Arabidopsis thaliana: one gene and its partners. The protein of the gene in region 3 interacts with the protein of the main gene of each other region in a pairwise test. Each region holds a gene or a part of one and is shown on either strand. Other genes may lie near its edges.

Region 1 (4,990 bases), about 12 Mb from region 3:
ATTAGATAATACTCTTTTGATTGTTTTGAAGTGTTTATGCTCAACTAATTAAATTATCAATTAGGAAACACCACACGTAATTAAATTCATTTTTGCAAGTTATATTGTCTGACTTTTATTTTATATAAATTTTTAGACTATTAAAGTATTAATTACACAGATTTTTAATTAAAAAATAATGAGAATAATTATTTTGTCTTTTTTTTTTCACAAGAGGGATCATTTTTATTGAGCAAGTCAAATATTATTTTGTCTTTACATCTCTAATTTACCGTTTCTTTTAAGATTCTTTTTCTCTGCTTTTTTCTAGATCCCTTATAGGAAATTTTACTAAAGATGAACATTAATGTTTGTAAATTCTTTTACTTTTAAGATTTTTTTTTTAATTTGGTGCACTGATAGGTATTTTCTTTCGAATAACAAAAACTAAGAGAATAATCATATTTTGTGTTTTTACTCTAATTTTACCATTTTTTTAGATTCTTTTTCAATTTTCAGTAACACTAATCTGTTTAATGATTAAAAGAACACATCTATTGATGATTAAAATTTACATTTCCTTAGTTGCAAATTAAAAGACACTTGTATTGGAAAAACTAGATACAACCTCACCACAATGTGAAGAACACAACAGTCAAATATTTGGTAAGACCAAACACATCAGTAACACAAAAATCTAGACACAAACCTCAAAAGCAAACATAATACGCCGGTATCAGATTGAACCAACCAAAACTGATAGTGAAAGAAATCACAAATCAGAAGAAATCAATTTCCAAATAATTACCAGAAGGCTTCACATCCACAGTAGGAGGCTTATCATAACCAACATGTCCATGTCCTTGACTAAAACCATGACGAACACTGTGAGCTTGATCCATTGGTTTAACCGGTTGAGGAATCTGTGGTGGACTGGTGCATCTGATCAAAGCCCAATTCACACTTTGGAAAAACGGATGCTGCTTAATCTCAGTAGCTCCTCTTCTATAAGCCAACCGATGCTGAGGCTCTTTCACTAGCAATCCTCTGATCAAATCTCTAGCTGCAAAGCTCACATTTGGATGCTCGGGAAACCGCAATGGCTGTCCAACTACGTTAAAGAGTGTCGCTCTGTTATCGCCTCCTCTAAACGGTGTTATCCCAAATAGAAGCTCATAGAGGAATATCCCGAATGTCCACCAGTCAACCGCGCTTCCATGACCTTCTCCTTTGATAATCTCTGGTGCTAGGTACTCGTGTGTACCAACAAACGACATTGACCTTGCGCTAGTCGGTTCAGCTATCAGCTCAGGAAGCGGTCTGATTTGGCGGCTCATATCGTTCGACTTCTTCCTGTGCTTTCCTTTAGACAAGAACCGAGGAGTGAAACACACTGGCTGGATGCAGTCAGGCTGAACAATGCAGCTCGATTGGTCTACACATGTTGGTTGGATACAGTAGCTTGAGCTTTTGGACTCAAGCGTGATTGCTGCGAACCGAACCAACGTTGGAGAGACTGCACATCTCAAAGAGAGGTCGAAATCAGATAGCATTATATGTCCATCTTCACGAACTAAAACATTCTCAGGCTTAAGGTCTCTGTATATGATCCCAAGCATATGTAGATACTCCATAGCAAGAAGAACTTCAGCAACATAAAATCTACAAACAAGACAGCAAAAAGATCAAAACTTTCAGCTAATAACGAAAACATTAACCGTAAAGTCTCGAATTTTTACCTAGCAGCTTGCTCAGGGAAGTACTTTCCACGCTGTTTTTGTCTAAGAGAATGTAAATCACCACCAGGACAAAACTCCATAACCAAACAAGAATTCATCTCTGTTTCGAAATGTGAGTAAAGCGTAGGCAAGAAAGGATGATCTAACGATTGAAGTATCTCTTTCTCAGTCTGAGCTCTAACAAGCTTCTTCCTCGCTGCAATAGCAGCTTTCTCCATAACTTTCACAGCAAAACTCACTCCAGTTCCAATCAACTCAGCTAAGTAAACATTACCAATATCACCTCCTCCTAACTTCTTAATCAGCTTGAAATCTTTAGCCTCAAGCGACGAACCAACCCGAGAACGAACCTCCTGAATCGCAACCCAACGCTTATCGTTATTATCTCTATGTGGCTTGTAAGCTGCATTACTCAGACCACTTGAGCTACTCTCATCACTAACATCACTCCCTATACTTCCTCTGTATATCATTACACCATTCTTCTCCAAATCAATACCACCTATACCAATAGTGCTTATGCTTGCACATTCACTGAATTCTGTGTTGGTAAAGCTTTGTTTTGCTTCTGTGTAAAACGTGTTGGTTGGGCTAGAGTAAAACCTTGGCTCTGATTGTTTCTTCTTACGTATAATCGAAATTGGTGTCTCGGATTCAGCTGAAACAGAGGACACAGAACTTTCTATAACTTCAGGGGAAGTTGGTTCTGGTTCTGGGATTAATAACGTCTTCATTGATTTCTTGGTGCCTCTTGAATCGATTGAGAAAGATGTAATCGAACCTTTGGATTTAGATTGAAAGTTTCTGGATTTGGATGATGAACCAACGTAAACGACTGATGAAGAAGAATCCATTGAAGGTGTTCGACAAAATTCCTGAAAGAAAGGTTTTTAAAAGTTAACTTCAAACCCGAATAAAGAAATCGAAAAAAGTGAAACCCAGCAATGATTAGGGTTACTTAAACTCAATCAACGAATCAATTTCAAGTAACCGCCGAGACAACGTAGAGAGAAAGAAAAAGTTTCGATTTTTTTTTCCCGCAAAATTTTGAAGTTCCGGTAAAAGTTGCAGAAACATAGAGGAAGAAGAAGGAAAGAAACTATAACCTGATCATAGACAAATCAGTGGTTTATGAAAATATTTTCTTTCTCTTTGACGAGTTTTGTTAGATCCGATCCGATTAGTGTCCGAGAGAGAAGAAGAAGAAGAAGAAGATGTTTCTTTCTTTCGTATTCTTTAAATTTGCTTTCTTCAGGTGAATGAAGAAGATAAAGAGAAAGTTCGATGTTTCGTCGTTTAATGGGAAAGTTTTTTTAAGCAACTTTTTAAACTCTCGATCTTGCGATGTTCCCTCAAAAGCAAATTTAATTACTGTAATTAAGTAGGGAGCCGCATCTAAGCACTAATTAGTAAGATTATATTATACACTCGTTGTGTATGAATCTTCGTGTTATGTTTTTGTTATGTCTAGGCTATAAAGTTTGAGTATTAGTATAGATTTAGTAGTAGGTCCGTAAAAAATGATTGTAGGGTCACGTTCATTTTGGTCATATTCGACGAATCTGAAATCCAAATTTTAAAATATGAAATCGACTGATCTCTAGGCTACGAATAGAGACAGAACCGCATCATGCGGTACGGTTGTAATAGTAACAAAAAATCTATATATATTTTTTGTTATTATTAGAACTGCATCGCACTTTATGTGCAGTTAAACTGTATGTTATCATTCAGAGTTTTACTAAATGTTCTATGTTTGTGTAAATAATCCAATTTTTAGTTGAATGTGGTTTCATTTTACGGTTTTGAAAATTGTTAAGGATTTTAAAGTACAATAATAAAAAATTAGTTTGAAATTTTTATAAAACTGAGATTAGCTATTTTTTATGATGTATAATTTGTTTAAGCTAAGAAGAGAAAATTCACTCTTGGTGTTGGATTACCCTACGCATTAAACTCTTAAACTAATTATTTGTGCATGAGAAAAAAATTGTGTTCTTAAATTAAGTTAAACGAAACATAGATGAGAGGGTCATGACTCATGAAACAACTGACAAGGTTATCCATTTTCATATTTTCGTGATTTGAAAATTCTATTTCGAATCAATATCTATGCAATGAGATTATACAACATGGAATCATAATCATTAGATATTAATTGCACCAATGCAATCTTGTTGGTAGATTTTAATTAAAATATTTTTCTATCAGGAGACATGTCCTCCTAAGAATTCGAGATGGCTGGTACATTGAACCACTGATAATAAATTTATTAAAACTTAAATAACTATGCATGTTCTTCTTTATTTCTAGAAATAATTAATTTTACTGTTTAAAATGACTCCATTAGTTAAACCATTTTACGAGGATGAATCTAAAAATTATTCAACAAAAAAAAAAAACGAGAAATCATGTTAACAAAACAAAAACTGAATAGTGATTAGTAATTAATTACACTTAAAAATTGAGTTAACATAATGTAGGAAGTAGGCGGAAGTTACGACCGAGGCGCCTCAATGCCTCACATGGACGCACGTGGACTACCGGCAACAGCACGTGGACGACGGCTGTCGTCGTCCTCCGGCGTATTTTATTATTTTGCGCTTCTAATATCCTCGTCTCGGGTACAGGTGAGTATTTTAACTGAACCAAGTCAAACTAAACCGAACTAGTCTAACCCAAACCATGTCACAATCGTTGCATGTTGATGTTTGATTAATAAACTTTTTACTAAACCAAACGATGAAGTTTATTTGGAAAATTGTTTGGTATATAAGAGCACAGAAAATTACTTTTGAATGTTTAAAATCTTTGGGAATCAACTCCAACACAAACCAAAGTAAAACCAAACAAACTAAAACCTAATACGGCGTTGATCATCAAATTAGCCTTTCAAGCCTCAGTCTATCTTGTGTGGAAGGAGCGGAACCAAAGAATTCATTCCTCCTCTCAGAAAACTTCCTTAACTATTGTCAAGGAGATTAAGGTTATCTTGAAGGCGCGCCTTGATCCGTTGGCTCGTGCCCAACGGTTAGCCAGACCGGGATCGTCGGTTCTCTCAACCTGGTTTAGGTTGTTCGGGTAAGGTCTCTATCTCCTTTTTTCCTTCCTCTCTTCCTCTTTCTTTTGGGGCCTGCGTGCCTGTGTTGGGCTTTTGCCTTGTTCTGTTCAGGCCTGTGTGCCTTTTTAGCCTTTTGGCATTGTATGTTCTCTTTTAAAGGAAATTTAAAATTAAAAAAAAAAAAAAAAAAACTAACCGAACAAATTTCGAA
Region 2 (3,965 bases), on a different chromosome or scaffold from region 3:
CTCTCCTTATATCTAAACAAGATGTTTAAACATCGACACAAAATATCCAAAATCCAAAGTGTGTCCATGATATGATATCATATATAAACTTGAGATGCTATCTAGACTTGGAAGAGGTTCACTTGATAAAATGTTTCAACTTGAGCTAGTTGATTAATTTTAGCCCGCTTAGATTTATTTACTTGAATCTCTTTTGTTATGTAAGATAATTTACTTAAACTTGTATGTGAAACTAAGTCAAAATCGCCTTTATCACATGCCTAAGTAAAAAATAATCAAATAAAATTGAATATCAAAAATCAGTATTTTAAAATAAAATTCTATAAGAATTGCTCATAAAGTTTATCATGATCGGGACAAGACGGAATAGGACAGGACATGAACTTTACCCAAACCAGGTAAACATGTTAAAATAGTAAAACCTTTCTTAATCTAGGTAGGACTAACATTCGAATCACAAGAATCTGATTCGCAGATGTGTTTAACAAAAGTGGCAAATCTCTTTCACATTTAATGTTCATTATTCTTTATTAAACTAATTAATTATCATCCTACCACTTGTACCTTCATAAGTATCATAATGACTACTATACTAATCTCCTGTAATTATATCATGTCCACAAATTCAATAGAAAATATCAACTACTCTTTAAACAGTAGGCCATATCAGTTTACAAGTCTTAGAATCACAACACATATACTATATTTGAGGAAAAATGTTTACGTATATATACGTACTCATTTCTAGAGCTATCATATATTCATATATATGTTCGAAAATTATATTAATTATTAGCTACACGTAAATTACTTACCCTCGATTATTATTAACCCTCAACTATATTATTATCTTGATCATATAATTCAATGATTCTCCTTTAGACCTGTGCAATGGATCCAGATCCAGGACAGGTCCAGTTAAGCAACTCCTCGATCATCTGCATCGCCATTTGATCATCTTCCTGAACGTCTTCGTTTCGTACCTTCATCTTATTAGTCTCAATATCACCACCGGGACGTGCGTTAACTTTGTCACCTAGTTCAACAAGCTTGACCCAGTTTGGACTCGTTTTTGACCCGGCGCGTTTCTGCCAGACGCCGATGTGTGAGCTGTCGTTGTCGAGGCGGAGACACGTCAGATACGGTGTCTGGTCTTTACAGTTCTTCCTTAGCTTAGCGTTCAATAGTTCCGATAATGATTTGGGAGACCTTAACGCAGAGTTAATCTCCAAGGAATTTGAACCGTTCGATTTGATGACGGGGAAGTTAGTCTTCGCGCTCTGGCCGTTCATTAGAACCGCGGCTTGGTCGTAGGCTCTAGCCGCTGTTTCCGCCGTGTCGAATGTTCCTAGCCACACTCTTCTCTTCCTGATAGCTCACATAAGTTACGTAAGCAAAAAACACACATTTTATTCAAACTTCAAAGTACTAAAACAAACACACAACAAATTTGTTATAAATTGTTACTGATAATAAATTGGGTCGTTTTCTTTTTGAGGAAAGTTTATAGTGAGTAGTGTTCGTTCCTTCCCAATTCTTTGCTATATGATTTTCTATAATCCAACTAAGACATAGAAAATACATCAGTATCAATTATATGACAAAGCATTTAAATTTATGTACACTCAAAATTTCAAAATACAACACAAAAAGTACAAATACTCAACATATGTATATGTTAATAAACGTGGGTTTTTTAATTGGAAAAAAATAAGGAAAACGACTTAAACAAAAATGCATGATATTATAAGAGCTTTGCATGAATCTTCGAAAATATAATCAATGATCAGAAAACTGCCCTACACGTACACCAAAAATGTAAACTTAACTCATAGCATGGACTTGCATAAACAGATTTATACTGTTGTCTCTATTAATAGATAGAGAGGGAGAGAGAACTGACAAGAGAGGATGACGAATCTCAGAAACCCAAGAACCCCACTGACGCTGGCGGACACCTCGGAACTTCTTCGAATGTACCATTCTTCTGTTTTAAATTAGGGTTCTTAATTTCTCTGTGTGTTTCTGACACGAACTAAGAATAGGAGAGAAAGTGAGAGTGGGAGAGAGATTCCTCGTCTCTGATCTTTCTATCTCCAACTACTCACTTAACTCTCTGCTTTTCCCACGTCCTCTCTACTGATATTTATTGTATGTCCCCTATCTCTTCCGTGTCATGGGGTTATTGGATTATATATAGCGTTAGGAAAACTACATGACAAGATAGTCCAAGTACAAATACTAGTTTTGCTACATATAACTAATCCTTTTCCATTTGATCATACTTGTCATTCTACAATGTTAATAATTACCCTACAACGTACAAATACTTGATGTCAGTTCATACCATGCATACAATGGTACCAAGTGATCATATTTCTTATTGCCTATCAATTCGTCTCTTTTCTTCATTAATTATGTGAATATTTGATAAGAAGAAATGTTATTGTTTAAAAATAGATCACGTTTTACTGTTTTAAGTGTTTATCGCTAATGCAAACTATCGAATGGACACTGACCCACAACCAATTACGAAGCCTAGTGGATTTTGGTAACCAAATGCATAAAATCGTACTAAGGTAACTATAATGATGTCCCATGTGTATTCAATTATTCATATACAGTTAAACCTCTATAAATTAATACTCGATAAATTAATAACCTCTATAAATTAATAAATTCTTCCAGTCCCGAGTTGGGATCAGTGTAAAAAGTGACACAAATCGATAAATTAATAAGATAATAACTTTTTAAAAAATCTTATGTAAATATATGGTCCCATCAATATCATAAATTAATAATTTTATAAATATATCAACTATATATACATTATATGTAAGAAATTATTTTGAAATATAATTCTAATATTTTTTTGCTTAAAATTTGTATTTATTCTTATTTAAATTTAGTTATAGTATTTTACTTTATCAAAAACTTTTGGTGTTGTTTTCTAAACATGATATTATTATTTACTTGTAATTGATTTTTGAAAGATATTTTCTATAATGAAAAAAATTTTATAGAAATTTTTGAAAAGTTACTAAATTACGAAAATCTCTCTATAAATTAATAAATATTAATTTATCGATAAATTAAAATCTTTCTAAATTAATAAAATTTTGCAGTCCCAACATTATTAATTTATAGAGGTTTTACTGTAGATGTCTTTCTATTTATAAACCTGTATTAACTCATACTGATTTTTTGTAAAGATTACACTTAATTAGAAGACTGATCACATCCCACACCTCTTGCCGTCGAATTTATTCCGAGTTACATAGCAATTCAAATTAAATGCTATCAAATTTTACTAACAGATAACTTAAACAGTGACGTGAAAACGTCGTCAAAACATATTTCATTCATCTATTTAATTTTCATTGTTTGATTTCTTATAGATCTATTAATTCGACACAAAACAGAGACCTCGATTTCATCTTTTTCGATCATCTACGTTTATGTTACTACCGGTTAAAATTTCTGAGAATAATTAAAATTATAGAAGTGTTTTTACTGATCAATTAATGAAAAGGCTAGAGAATTGTCGGTGCGTCGCGTGGTAAAGTCCACGGATATTTGGAGTAGTTGTTGTCCATTAAATGTTATGAACCTAAAGGAGACAAGAACGAGTTAAACCTTAAGCTTGAATAAATGAATTCACCAACATCTGCTAAACGTACAAAATTAAATTTATAAGTTGAAATGTATATAAGGATGTGACAGCCACATGAATATATAATGGCTCTGATGAATGCAAATGGTACAAGACGATGCAGGATAGGTGCGGTGGTAATCCTTTTGTTTTTCAATATTTAGATGTTTAACAAAGATCAGTTTTTAATTAATGTGTGGTTGACAAAAAAACAAAGATCAGTTTTGAGTCATTTAAAGTTTCTATAACAATTCTAAATTTCATTATATTTTTTAGAGCTAAAATAATTCAATAAACGTTTAATTATATGAAT
Region 3 (7,194 bases):
CCATTTGTCTCTGTTGATTTGAGCAGGATGGCCGATGCATTCAAGACTAGCGTCTCTGGTCTAGAGAAAGAACTTGAAGCCTTGATCACAGACAACCAGATTCAGGTCCGTAGTGTTTCCCGAAATAACTTTGTTTTATGTTACTGTCATTTTAAAAACCTTAATAGAGGCAAAATCTTTTTTCCATCCCGGACAGGCAAGGATTGATTCACACAACAAAATCCTCTATGCAAGACACGCGGATCAGAGGAATGCAACTTTCCAAAAGGTACTTCAGATGGGAAACGAATTCGATAGAGATGTCAGGGCGATGCTGTTAAGAGCCAACCTCCTGAAACATGAGTATCATGCCAGATCGGCAAGGAAACTTTGATGACATCTGCTTTGCTAAACTGAGAGGTAATGGCCTATTCCAAGATCATAAGATATCTGTTAAAATTTAATTTGGTTTAGTTACTGGTTAGCTTTCTATCTGACCTTCTCTGTTCTCTAGTTATCGCTTTGTTTTGTCAACTTTTAGTTTAAGATTCTTTGAATTATCTATGGACTTTGAATGAAATCCCGAGTGTGAATCTATAGACGCATGAATCACACTGAAAGTGAAATGGTCAAAGAGTACAGACATAAGTACACACACTTGGTTTCATGGGCCGATATGATTTATGATCTTTGTATGCATGTGGGTGGTGGGATCAAAAATCTCATCTCCCAACTAATATCCATTTCATTTTGTCAACTAAACGTCGTATATTATATGATAGTTTGTGGCTTTGTGCACAGTTGTCACTCTATAGTTGAAGACTTTTTTTTTTCTTATCTACAAGAAATAATAATCAAAACGGTTAGGTCTTTTTTTTATAAGTAGAATCTCGAAAATTGCAAAACCAAGATTTGATGTCGGCAAACGCATCATGTAGACTAAGTGTGAACTTTTGATTTTCTTGTGTCAAAGAACTTTTGATATTAATCACTCGATAGCTACGTTTCATCATTATTAGTTTCTTCTATAGAATTTTTATCACTGAATGGGATAGTTCACATTATCTGGTACTATTATTTTTACTATTGCAAGTAGTTCTTTTCTATGCATTTCTTTGAAGTTGTTCTCTTTGTAGTTTGAGGTATCTTATATATATATATTTCTATATGTTTGTGTTTGCCAGGAATATTCAAGGGTGTTTTTTCAAGATTCGAACCAAACGAGAAATTGGGCAAGATTACTTTTTTGTAAGAACCAAGTGTTTCAATGAGTCGATGACATTTAGAGTAAGTAAAGGTTTTATTCTAAGATGGACAGTCCATTATTAATCAACTATTGAATGATATTGCCTTTTAAATGAGTCTTAGGTAGCATCGCAATAACTCCATGTTTACTCAAAACTCACAAACCATGAAGTTAAGAATCCGCCAAATTTGGAAGATGGGCCAACTCTAAATTTACTCACCCCAATACTCCATTTATTTTGGGTTGCATTGATGAAAGTAATTTGTATAATTGATAGGTTGTGTATCAAAAACCGGATCTCATTATTTGTGATCTTTGCATTAGTTATTTTTGGAGACTAATAACCATCTTTCTAAACTGTGAGTAATACAAATATAAACAACTTCTTGTTCGCTATGGAAAATAAAACATAACTCTTTAGGTACGATTCACGATGCAAAAACAATAGTCATCGTGAATAAACATGTCCGAAATACATGAATTAACAAATGAAACGCTCAACAAATGAATTGACAAATGAAACGCTCAACAAACGAAGAATCTCACATCCCATGATGAAATTGGGATTTACAAATAAAAAGTAGCACAAGAAGAAGGGGGTAGAACAGTAATTTTAAAAGAAAGACAGCGTTGATTCACCACTTGAAGTGGACTTTTATAGCAAAAAGAGTTGAGTAACGTCAAAAGAGTCAAACCCAACTTTTCAAAGGTTGTGTAAGGCTTTCCATGACTCCACATCTTCTTCTTTTCCCTTTTTATCCTTTTCTCTTCTCTCTCTTTTATTTTTTCTTTTGAAGTAAATTAATTTCACGAAACAAATCAGAGAACCTTTTATATCTTCCTTTTTCGTCGTTACTATCGTCCTTTACCTTTTTCATTTACTGTTCTCTCTCTCTCTCTATCTCTATCTCTATCTTCTATTCATGGACATGCACCGAAGCGACAAAGCTTAGGGCTTTTCTCTCATCCATGGCGGATTTCTTCTATCTTCATTAAATATTTCCCTCTTTATTAAAATCTCATGAATTTCAACGGTTTTCTCGACGACGGTGCTGGAGCCTCAAAGCTACTCTCTGATGCTCCGTACAACAACCACTTCTCTTTCTCCGCCGTAGACACCATGCTCGGAAGCGCCGCCATTGCTCCTTCTCAGTCTCTTCCTTTCTCTTCTTCAGGCCTCTCTCTCGGACTCGTAAGCTCACTATCTCCTCTTTTAATCTTCGATTTCTTCTTCTTCTACTACTTATGATAATCTCTGTAAATTTGGCAGCAAACAAATGGAGAAATGAGTAGAAACGGAGAGATTATGGAGTCAAACGTAAGTCGTAAGAGTAGTAGAGGAGAAGATGTAGAAAGCAGATCTGAAAGTGATAACGCTGAAGCTGTCTCCGGTGACGATTTAGATACCTCCGATAGACCTTTAAAGAAGAAGAAACGTTACCATCGTCACACTCCTAAACAAATTCAAGACCTCGAATCGTAAACTCACTATACACAAAATCTCCATTTACACTTCTACGAATCGTTTTGATTTTTGATTTTGATGAATCCTCCATTTTTAGGGTTTTTAAAGAGTGTGCACATCCAGACGAGAAGCAACGTCTTGATCTTAGCCGTCGACTTAACTTAGATCCTCGTCAAGTCAAGTTCTGGTTCCAGAATCGTCGTACTCAGATGAAGGTTTTTAGCTTCGAATCGCTAATCTTTGTTTTCTGGTTTCTTTGTTTTGATTTTTGATTTGTTTTTACAGACTCAAATCGAACGACATGAGAATGCTTTGTTGAGGCAAGAGAACGATAAGCTTCGAGCTGAGAATATGTCTGTACGCGAAGCTATGAGAAACCCTATGTGTGGTAATTGCGGCGGACCTGCCGTTATCGGTGAGATCTCAATGGAAGAGCAACATCTGAGAATTGAAAACTCTCGTCTCAAAGATGAGTTAGACCGAGTCTGTGCCTTAACCGGTAAGTTTCTTGGCCGGTCTAATGGTTCACATCATATACCGGACTCAGCACTTGTTCTCGGCGTTGGTGTTGGTTCTGGTGGATGTAATGTTGGTGGTGGTTTCACTCTCTCTTCTCCGCTGTTGCCTCAAGCTTCTCCTAGATTTGAGATTTCTAATGGAACCGGTTCTGGTTTGGTGGCTACGGTTAACCGTCAACAACCGGTTAGTGTTAGTGATTTTGATCAGAGATCGAGGTATTTGGATTTAGCTCTTGCGGCTATGGATGAGCTTGTGAAGATGGCTCAGACACGTGAGCCGCTCTGGGTTCGAAGCTCGGATTCTGGTTTTGAAGTGCTGAACCAGGAAGAGTACGACACAAGTTTCTCTCGGTGTGTTGGACCAAAACAAGATGGGTTTGTCTCAGAAGCTTCTAAAGAAGCTGGAACTGTTATCATCAATAGCTTAGCGCTCGTTGAAACCTTAATGGACTCGGTGAGTAGTTACTAAAACACTTAATTTTAGTAATGAGCTTAATCCAGCAAAAGTTCTAGAAAGTACTAATCTTTTGATACAATGTTTTTTATAGGAACGGTGGGCGGAAATGTTTCCTAGTATGGTCTCAAGAACTTCAACCACAGAGATTATCTCTAGTGGCATGGGAGGGCGAAATGGTGCACTTCACCTGGTATGTAATTATGCGTTTAACATTTAATTAACACATATAAAATCTTAATTCAACAAATGGGTCTTTTAATGTTTTGTTTTTGGTTAATTAGATGCACGCAGAGCTTCAACTGCTGTCTCCACTCGTGCCGGTTAGACAAGTGTCGTTCTTGCGGTTCTGTAAACAGCACGCGGAAGGTGTTTGGGCAGTCGTGGATGTCTCAATTGATTCCATTAGAGAAGGTTCTTCTTCGAGCTGTAGAAGATTACCATCCGGTTGCCTCGTACAAGACATGGCCAATGGCTACTCAAAGGTAAAATTATTCTTTCTGGGTGATGATTATTTGTAATAGTAGTATACTGTATAGTTTTAACTTTTCACCTTTAGGAGTTACCCTAGTGTTGGTTGGTTCACATTTCTCTAGGAACCACAGGCAAGCTCTTTGTTTTTGTCCGAGAAATTATGATAAAGGTTTCTTATGCATTGGGTTTATAACTTTAAATTAACTTATGCATTGGAGTAGGATTATTTTATTGATCAGAAGCATCTAAATATCTCCGAGTTCTGTGCCCTTGGATCGTGCATTAATTTTTATCATTACACGTTCATAGAAGTTTTTCTCTTTGATTATCATTAATTATGTGTTAAAGCTGACATTAGACCTAAAAAAACGATTGTGATAAACCTAACGCAAAATAGTTTAAGAAATTTGCAGGTAACATGGATCGAGCACACGGAGTATGACGAAAACCACATCCACCGTTTATACCGCCCATTACTCAGGTGCGGTCTAGCGTTTGGTGCGCATCGATGGATGGCTGCATTACAACGTCAATGCGAATGCCTCACGATTCTCATGTCCTCCACTGTTTCCACTTCCACTAATCCATCCCGTAAGCTCCCTCAAACGCTGCGTTTCTGATTTATTTTGTAGAAATATATATTTGTTTGTTGTTGTTGACGTGATTCATATCTTATCCTACCAGAATAAATAAGATTTAATAAATAGTATGAACTGTTGACTGAGTCACAAAGAAAAAGATGATAGCTGTTGATTCTGTAATTATCAAACTATATAGTTTAATTAATCTTTTTTTGGTTATATTAATGGGCACAGCTATAAACTGCAATGGGAGAAAAAGCATGCTAAAGCTAGCGAAGAGGATGACTGATAATTTCTGTGGAGGGGTTTGTGCTTCGTCGTTACAGAAATGGAGCAAACTCAACGTTGGCAACGTCGACGAAGACGTTAGGATAATGACTAGGAAGAGTGTAAACAATCCTGGCGAGCCGCCTGGGATAATTCTAAATGCGGCGACGTCAGTTTGGATGCCGGTATCTCCGAGGCGGTTGTTTGACTTCCTTGGAAACGAACGGCTTAGATCGGAATGGGATATCTTATCCAACGGTGGACCAATGAAAGAGATGGCCCATATAGCTAAAGGCCATGACCGTTCCAACTCCGTCTCCCTCCTCCGTGCCAGCGTAAGCATTCATATTTATTACACTTTCTATTTGCATGCGTAAGTAGCTAAGCTAATCTCCAAATTTTAGTTTAGGTTTTGGTGAATTTAGTATTTTATAAACATTAGATGGTTTTGGAAAACTTGAAATTTTAGTCGGTTTAGTTTTTTGTTTACGGTTTTCAACTTTTTCTGATTTTTTTGGGTTGGTTTTAGATAAATTAAAGTTAAACCGACTTGTGTGGACATTGAATATTTGATCTATAAACAGTGTATGAAAGGACTTTGTTGTGTTGTGTGACCCCAGGATGGTGTTGTCATATGAATCTTGTCGCGTGTGATTGGAAAGTGACAAATCTAGAATTTGGAAGTATTGTGTGATAAAAGTCAATAGTAATAAGACATTTTTGACCTTTTTCTTTCCTTTTTGGCTCCGACGTTTTGAAAAATCCTCTGTTTTTTTCTCTCTTTATTTCTGCATTATTGGTGTCTTTTCTCCGTTGTACCCCTTGAGCTTTTTCTGGCTTGTGACGGTGACACTGTAAAAGTCTCCTCGTTCATCATCTTTTAATTTATTGTTTCCCCTTTTGGGATTTATAATTTTCTCTTCTACCACCAAAGTTTCCATTTATTTAATTTTGTTTTGATTTTTTCATGCAGGCGATAAATGCGAATCAGAGTAGTATGCTGATATTACAAGAGACAAGCATAGACGCTGCAGGAGCGGTTGTCGTGTACGCGCCTGTTGATATCCCAGCAATGCAAGCTGTGATGAACGGTGGAGATTCTGCTTACGTGGCACTCCTTCCTTCAGGATTCGCCATTCTCCCTAACGGTCAGGCTGGTACGCAACGCTGCGCCGCAGAGGAACGTAACAGTATTGGTAACGGTGGGTGCATGGAGGAAGGAGGGTCGTTACTAACGGTGGCGTTTCAGATACTGGTGAATAGTTTGCCTACGGCTAAGCTAACGGTGGAATCTGTGGAGACGGTTAATAATTTGATATCGTGCACCGTTCAGAAGATTAAAGCTGCTCTTCATTGTGATAGCACCTGATCATCGAGATCAGACGATGGAGGAGATTGAGTCAAGAACGAACCTCATTTTGTGATGAATCCGTTTTTGTGATGGTTCGGGTATTGACTCGATGAAATTTAAAAAAAAAAAAAAAACAAAGAATGTTGTAATTTGGATCGGTTTTATTTTGGATCATGTCGATGAAATGTAATTGTTTCTTGTTTCTCTTCTTGTAATGACTCGATAATATCGGGACAGCATTATATGAAACACACAAGTTTTTTTTAGGGGAGCTCAAATAATTAGTTATAAGCAAAAACGTATTATCATTTTTTTGGTTATAAATCAAGGCAACCAGAAGCACAATCCGTGTTTACTTTTGTGGTAGTTTATAATGTGAAAGGATTGGTTTGGACCGTGTCCTTTATTTAATGTTGTTCCAAGTTTACAGTACTTTTCTCAATAAGATGGAAAAGGAACGAACGAAGAAGAGTGAAACACGTGAGTGCATGAATTTAGTTGCAATCCCTTATAGTTATTATATCCATGCAATGTAGACAACTACAACGAAAGGCTAATTGATTAGGTTGGTTTAGAGATTGTTTGATAATGCTAGCCTAGATCCAAAGGTCACATCAGAAGAGACCACAGGCTACTAATGGGCTTTTATCTAAAGCCTGTCATTAACTACTCTATTATGGCTACCAAGTAAGTCTTCTCAAAGTGTATTGGGCCAATCATTAACTAATTTATTGGGCTAGATTTTAAGTCCATTGGAGTATATACTATTATTACAAACGACAATAATATTATTATTACAAACGGGCCGAAAGAAAAGAGTCAAAAGGAAGAGTCAAACTTCCGAATAATCCGCGCGCTT
Region 4 (5,503 bases), on a different chromosome or scaffold from region 3:
AACCCTAGAATCGCCAATTAACAGGATTAAGCCTTGTCTCACATCACCATCAGATTGAGTTTGAGGAAGCTCGAATACAAATCCCCCAAACCCAATGAGAAAACCCTAAACGATCCAAAGCTACGTGATTGCTTTAACCGAGGTAATTCCAATTGCTCCGCAGCTCTCCTTCGGAATAAAAAAAAACAAACAAAAAGAAACCCTAATCTCACAGGTCTTCCAAATTCGATCAGACTCTAATGCTATCAAACGCAAACAGACTTTGTCTGATCTTTGTGCGACTTAGATATTACAAACCGAGAACACACACAGCACTCACAGAAACAAAAACAAGAGTGAAAAGAAAGAGAGAGAGAAGAGAGAGTTGAAGTTAATTCGAGTACGATGGCGTAATTTTGTGAACATCTGGAGGGCACTTTCGGGAATTACATATTCCACTTACAGTATATAAGCATCGGCCGTCCATAGAATCTCCAACGATCCGAGCCGCACGATCACGGTTCGTTAAAGGAATAGAGAGAAAAACATAACTAATCTTCTAATAAAAATTAATCAACAATAAAAGAAAAAAAAAGAAGCAAATTAAGTAGTCTTATAAATATAAAATCTACCGTTTGTAATAATTTTTTTGTTATCGTGTGATTCAAACCTGATAGTAAATTAGTAAGAAATAAAACAAAAAGATAGAAACAAATACAGTAATTTGAAGTCTCAAGACGAAAGTAGAAATAAAACAATTTGGTTTATCAATCGATTTTTGTTGCGAGTTTTTGTTGCCTCTCTTGCTCAACTTGGACAAGCAAAGTTAAGAGCGCTTCACAAACTTGAGCAGCATCAGCTTCTAAAGGAACCTCGTTCAAGGAAGAGTACACCATCCAGGCATGGTCTAGTTTACGTTTGGGTCTAACAACCACAGAACCAGGAACCTCTGCGTCACAGCAAGTCACTAGCCCGTCACTCTTTTCACCGTATCTGACTTGAAGTAGCTGAGCGCAAGCAGCCATTGCAGCACCAAGTGGCATTACCACTGGCAGTTTTGCGGCTTGGTTTGTCAGAGGAAGTTCAGCGTGTGCTACGTGTGATAAAGTGGATAGAACCGCTGGGCTAATGCTAGCTTCTGTGCGGAATGAAACCGTGGGGAGTTCTCGGGGAAGCGGATGATTCTTCAAGAATTCTTTTCTTCTCTCGTATGTTAAATCTTCCAATGCTTGAATGTCACCCTTCACAATGTTCCAAGGAATTCATCAGAAAGATCAGCAGAGCAATAGAATCCAGAAACAAAATAAGTTTTGGTTTATCCCTAGTTTCTCGGTTCCACCTAACTAAGGATTTTAACAGGCAATCACAAGAAGCTGATATAATGCAACTGAAATGACTTTGTTAGATCAGGAATGTTGCAAACCTTTATGACTTTGGAGATTAGAATCTCCATCATCTTTCTCAAATTGACGTAATCACCTAGTTGTCCTTCACGGAGGATATCTGTAGCTATTGGGCTTCCACCATATGGACTCTGCGCCAGTACCAACCCAGCGACCTTATCCTTTAGTTCAGGCCAGTATAGTGATAAAGCAGCAGCTGCATCTATGCCTCCTTTGCTATGCCCAAGAAGTAGAACCCGCTTATTAGATCCCCAACAGAGTTCCTCTATGTATTCCTTTATCTCTCTCGCATTTTTCTCAACCGAGGACTGATATATAAACATTTCTCCATATATTAGTATGCTATACACCAAATGTAACTGTACTAAGTTGAGTTAGTTATGATTACCTCGCTGTGAATCTTCGCAATATGACACGCCAAACCCATCTTTGAGAATTTCGTTTTCGTATCCACAAAATATAGAGGTCCATGATTGCTGAAAAGACCTAAAAAAAATTCAACTAATTTTGAGAGTCCTAATATACAGTAATGTAGTTTAAGTGGCTGGCAGCAAAGAATAAGAATTGCTACCTGGAACCAATAAGTACACCACTGTATTTGGAAGCCTGTGTACACCATGCCTGGATATAAAAACCAGATCAACGCAGCCATTTAGTAAAAAACAGGATGTTAAACAGCATATTGAAAAGGCCACAAAGCACACAAAACATGCAACTACAACCAATTCATACCCGATGTCTTCCAGAATTTTATTGAACCTATCAGTTCCATCTTCAACAGGAGGCATCTCCGGGGCACGCTGTAACCATCCTATGTCATCTGCCGAGCCACGAACAGTCCTCCGTGCCCGCTCAATGAGCCTGATTGAATTAAAATAGATCAATCACCCAAATGCTGAAAACTTGACAAGAAGTAGTAGTGTATAGAGATTATTGTATTGCTTCAGTTTCACATATTCATAGTATTAAGATTTTACATATCTACTAGTATGGGGAATTTGTATCTGTAATACAAAGTACACGTACCCTTGGAACATTGAAATTCCATTTAAATTTAACCGATTCGAAGTCACTATTGCATTTGTTGCCTGTGGCAGAATCTCTGTAGATTCCCTCGACGGGCTGTTGGCATCAGATGTAGATGCCTCTGAAGAAGTTGAAAACCTTTCACCAGGCGAAATGCATACACTCACTGGGGAATTCCCGTCAACTCCGGAAGTTGATCGTAACAACTCATGGGGGTGGGAAATAGTATCCTTGCCACCATATTCTACTGAAGAAAGCATTGAAAGAACAGATGCTAAGCAAAGCCTGAATTATGTTACGGTGACGATAAGATCCTAACACCATAAATATCTGCTAAGCATATTTTCCATAAGTAAAGCCTAGCATATGAACGTGGAATTGCATACTGAGTACGACATCAACAGATAGAAAGAAAGGGTACCTGAATAGTCAGAAAAACAGCTCCCTAAGTAAGACGTTGCTTGAGTTATATAAGAAGCAGCTTCATTAAGAGCTGGTAAAGAATTAAACACTTGTGGTGCAACCGCATTGTCCCCATTACCACCGCCCTGGCCATGGAAAAATTACTGATATTAGAATGGTAGTCTCAATGCATAAAGAACCAAAAATTACGAATATCCTCTTTAACCCCATTTTAATCAACTTATATGTTTCCGTTGATATAGAAACCAAGAGAACGTTAAGTTGACTCCAAACAGAATTCCATTAAGATGAGAGCATAAAGCAAGTATAGTTTCTGAAAGTATTATCTAAAAAGTGAGAAAAGGAAGCCACAATACTTACAACAAGAGGCGTGACAGATTCTCCGTCTCTGGATTGACCAGCTTCTCCCATTTTGATCAATTTCTAACAACATAAACAAACACACAATCAAATATAAAATCCTTCATATATTCATGCCAATGAACAACAAGTAAAGAAGAATTACAAAGACTAAGCCTATGAAATGATAGCTTTTCCAAATAGCAATTTCAAAATTTTAAGCTTCCATGTTTCTTCTAAAAATTTCGGAAAGCACCGATTTTAAACTGATTAACGAAGGTTGCTTAACATGTCAAAATACCAAATCCATAAAAAATAGAAAAGAAGACGTGAAAAAAAGAAATCCAGCGGGAAGAGTCTCGAATCCGGTTAATGAAACGGCAAACAACATTAGGAATTGATAACATGCAAGTGAAAACACAGACGCTCTCAATTTTTGCATTGATGACAAATAAACAACAAAGTTGATGACCGGATCCAAAAATCGGCAACAAGTTTGGGAAGAACGGATTGAGGAAGAAGAATCAACTAATCAGAATTCGGGAAACGTAGAAAAGGTACCTGGAGCTTTAGGAATGTGGGATCAAAACGAAACATAGACACAAGGAGACAGTTTCTTCAACGATTCGGATCATATTGTCCTAAGCCGCGGGGAAAAGAAACCTCGTGAAGAAAATAGAAACGCGATTTCAATTTTGACGACCAACGTGGAACCAGAGGCACTAGAGACGCAACACGTGTAAATTGGCTCAGTGATCAAGATTGAATTATAAGATTAGGCTATTATTTAATTATACATTAATATGGGCCACTACTGGGCCCAATTACAAGTCTTCCTTCTACATACAAACGACACCGTTACATGTACAACCAAAAGCAAATTATATTACAGCGTCAAAAAGACTATCCCATTGTGTGATTCAGGGAGATCGACGATAATAGTACCTACAAGAAAGCAACAAAAATGAGTTTGCTTTGGATTATTCAAAAGAAAGAAGACGGGCGACACATATAAACTTACACGAATATTTTGACGGTGAAGATGGAGGAGTATTTTCGAAGAAGACGCTCAACAGTGTACCATTGAGATCGGTCTGATCCGTCTTGGTAACCAATACGTGGCATGTGGAGTGAGGCTTTTTGAGGAGAGAACATTACCATACCAGAAATGACAACACAAGTGTTAAGCTCTTTGGGAGCACTTTTGTTTATAATTCCAAATATGATGAAACTTTAAAGAAAGAAAGTAATTAAGTTCGTACCTGATTTCTGAGAAGCAGAGAATGAAGCTTTGGCTAAGCAACTTTCAAGGTCTGGAATTGAAATGCTACTACGTGGGACTTTACGCCTCGAATTGTAAGATTGTGTAACTGCAACTGCCACCCAAAGAGGCTTGCTTGCTTGTGTGTTTTGTTGGTCATCATTGTCTACACAACACAAAATACATGAGAACTCTTTGATGTTGTTAGAAAATGAAAGGAAGATAGAAAAAAAAAAAGTTGCAGACCATCAATTTTTATGAGATGCAGGTCTCCAAGATGAAGGTCTTTAAACTCGGATGCTCGGTGATAAGCAGTGGGTACAGTATTAGACAGTTTTGACAGAGCATCAAACATTCCACCACGTCCCCAGTTTCCAGAGTCATCAACACAGCTGCCATAAAATCAATATTTGGAAGTTTTAGAGGTTTGGTTTTTAGATGAACAATTGAAATGAAGTTTTACCTGAATATGATTGCTGGCTCATGAGAGACAGTTGATGGATTTGTACAGTCTCCAAAGACAAAGTTAACAGATCCTGCATCTGAGCTGGAATCAACATCATCAGGCAAAATCGGTTCTTCCACGGACAAAGACTGATAACCGTGTGCTCCCCACGTGGCTAACTTCTTCTCTTCTGCCTTTTTCCTGGCAGCCTCAATTCTCAGATTTCTTTCCTCAGATAAGTTCTTTCTATTTCCCAACTCAATAATTTTTTCATCCTTGCTTGATCGTGCAGCTTCCTTCAATTTCTCAACCCATGAAAGGTAAGAAGCTTCATCAAGCTCGGAATCCAGACTTGCAGATGATGTATTTCCTAGCAAAGTGTCGCTCGAATTAATTTCAAACCTTCTTTCTTCCTTGTCTGGTTCAACGTTTTGACGTATTGCAACAACTTTCTCAGCAAGAGAACTTATTTCTACCATTTTCAGGTTATCAGACTCTTCATTGTGAATCTCCTCGGGATCAAACCTTTGTAAACCAAACACTAGAGACCGCAAATCACCACCATCTTCTTCTTTCTCTTCCATGTTATCTCCCACAACATTATGACTAAGCTGCAACTTTCTCTCT

Evidence for each region.
Region 1: the proteins of HDG1 (region 3) and ATPK7 interact in a two-hybrid assay, tested with the Arabidopsis thaliana proteins (one large-scale study listed by BioGRID).
Region 2: the proteins of HDG1 (region 3) and SHN3 interact in a two-hybrid assay, tested with the Arabidopsis thaliana proteins (one large-scale study listed by BioGRID).
Region 4: the proteins of HDG1 (region 3) and AT2G44970 interact in a two-hybrid assay, tested with the Arabidopsis thaliana proteins (one large-scale study listed by BioGRID).

Annotation. Positions count from the first base shown.
Region 1 is NC_003074.8:10,216,913-10,221,902, forward strand, and holds ATPK7 (Protein kinase superfamily protein), read right to left. Parts: upstream 3,150-4,990; 5' UTR 2,573-3,149; coding exon 1,719-2,572; intron 1,642-1,718; coding exon 759-1,641; 3' UTR 505-758; downstream 1-504. Other genes in the region: AT3G27590 (reverse transcriptase family protein), read left to right, coding at 3,503-3,547, 4,202-4,348, 4,639-4,803. UniProt on the Arabidopsis thaliana protein: Protein kinase that regulates the auxin transport activity of PIN auxin efflux facilitators by direct phosphorylation. D6PK-mediated PIN phosphorylation promotes auxin transport in the hypocotyl and this is a prerequisite for PHOT1-dependent hypocotyl bending.
Region 2 is NC_003076.8:8,818,655-8,822,619, reverse strand, and holds SHN3 (Integrase-type DNA-binding superfamily protein), read right to left. Parts: upstream 2,163-3,965; 5' UTR 1,984-2,162; coding exon 1,904-1,983; intron 1,369-1,903; coding exon 879-1,368; 3' UTR 558-878; downstream 1-557.
Region 3 is NC_003074.8:22,628,523-22,635,716, forward strand, and holds HDG1 (homeodomain GLABROUS 1), read left to right. Parts: upstream 1-1,808; 5' UTR 1,809-2,246; coding exon 2,247-2,417; intron 2,418-2,495; coding exon 2,496-2,704; intron 2,705-2,787; coding exon 2,788-2,905; intron 2,906-2,975; coding exon 2,976-3,662; intron 3,663-3,756; coding exon 3,757-3,855; intron 3,856-3,946; coding exon 3,947-4,147; intron 4,148-4,549; coding exon 4,550-4,727; intron 4,728-4,951; coding exon 4,952-5,319; intron 5,320-5,957; coding exon 5,958-6,353; 3' UTR 6,354-6,633; downstream 6,634-7,194. Other genes in the region: FUS6 (COP9 signalosome complex subunit 1), read left to right, coding at 1-105, 197-373. UniProt on the Arabidopsis thaliana protein: Probable transcription factor. Promotes cuticle development probably by modulating the expression of the downstream genes BDG and FDH, possibly repressed in a CFL1-dependent manner.
Region 4 is NC_003071.7:18,548,253-18,553,755, forward strand, and holds AT2G44970 (alpha/beta-Hydrolases superfamily protein), read right to left. Parts: upstream 3,920-5,503; 5' UTR 3,768-3,919; coding exon 3,732-3,767; intron 3,720-3,731; exon of another isoform or gene 3,337-3,719; intron 3,255-3,336; coding exon 3,192-3,254; intron 2,957-3,191; coding exon 2,830-2,956; intron 2,656-2,829; coding exon 2,409-2,655; intron 2,244-2,408; coding exon 2,115-2,243; intron 2,004-2,114; coding exon 1,954-2,003; intron 1,869-1,953; coding exon 1,771-1,868; intron 1,691-1,770; coding exon 1,403-1,690; intron 1,221-1,402; coding exon 747-1,220; 3' UTR 561-746; downstream 1-560. Other genes in the region: ASG3 (SNF2 domain-containing protein / helicase domain-containing protein), read right to left, coding at 4,091-4,115, 4,192-4,306, 4,433-4,597, 4,678-4,823, 4,895-5,503.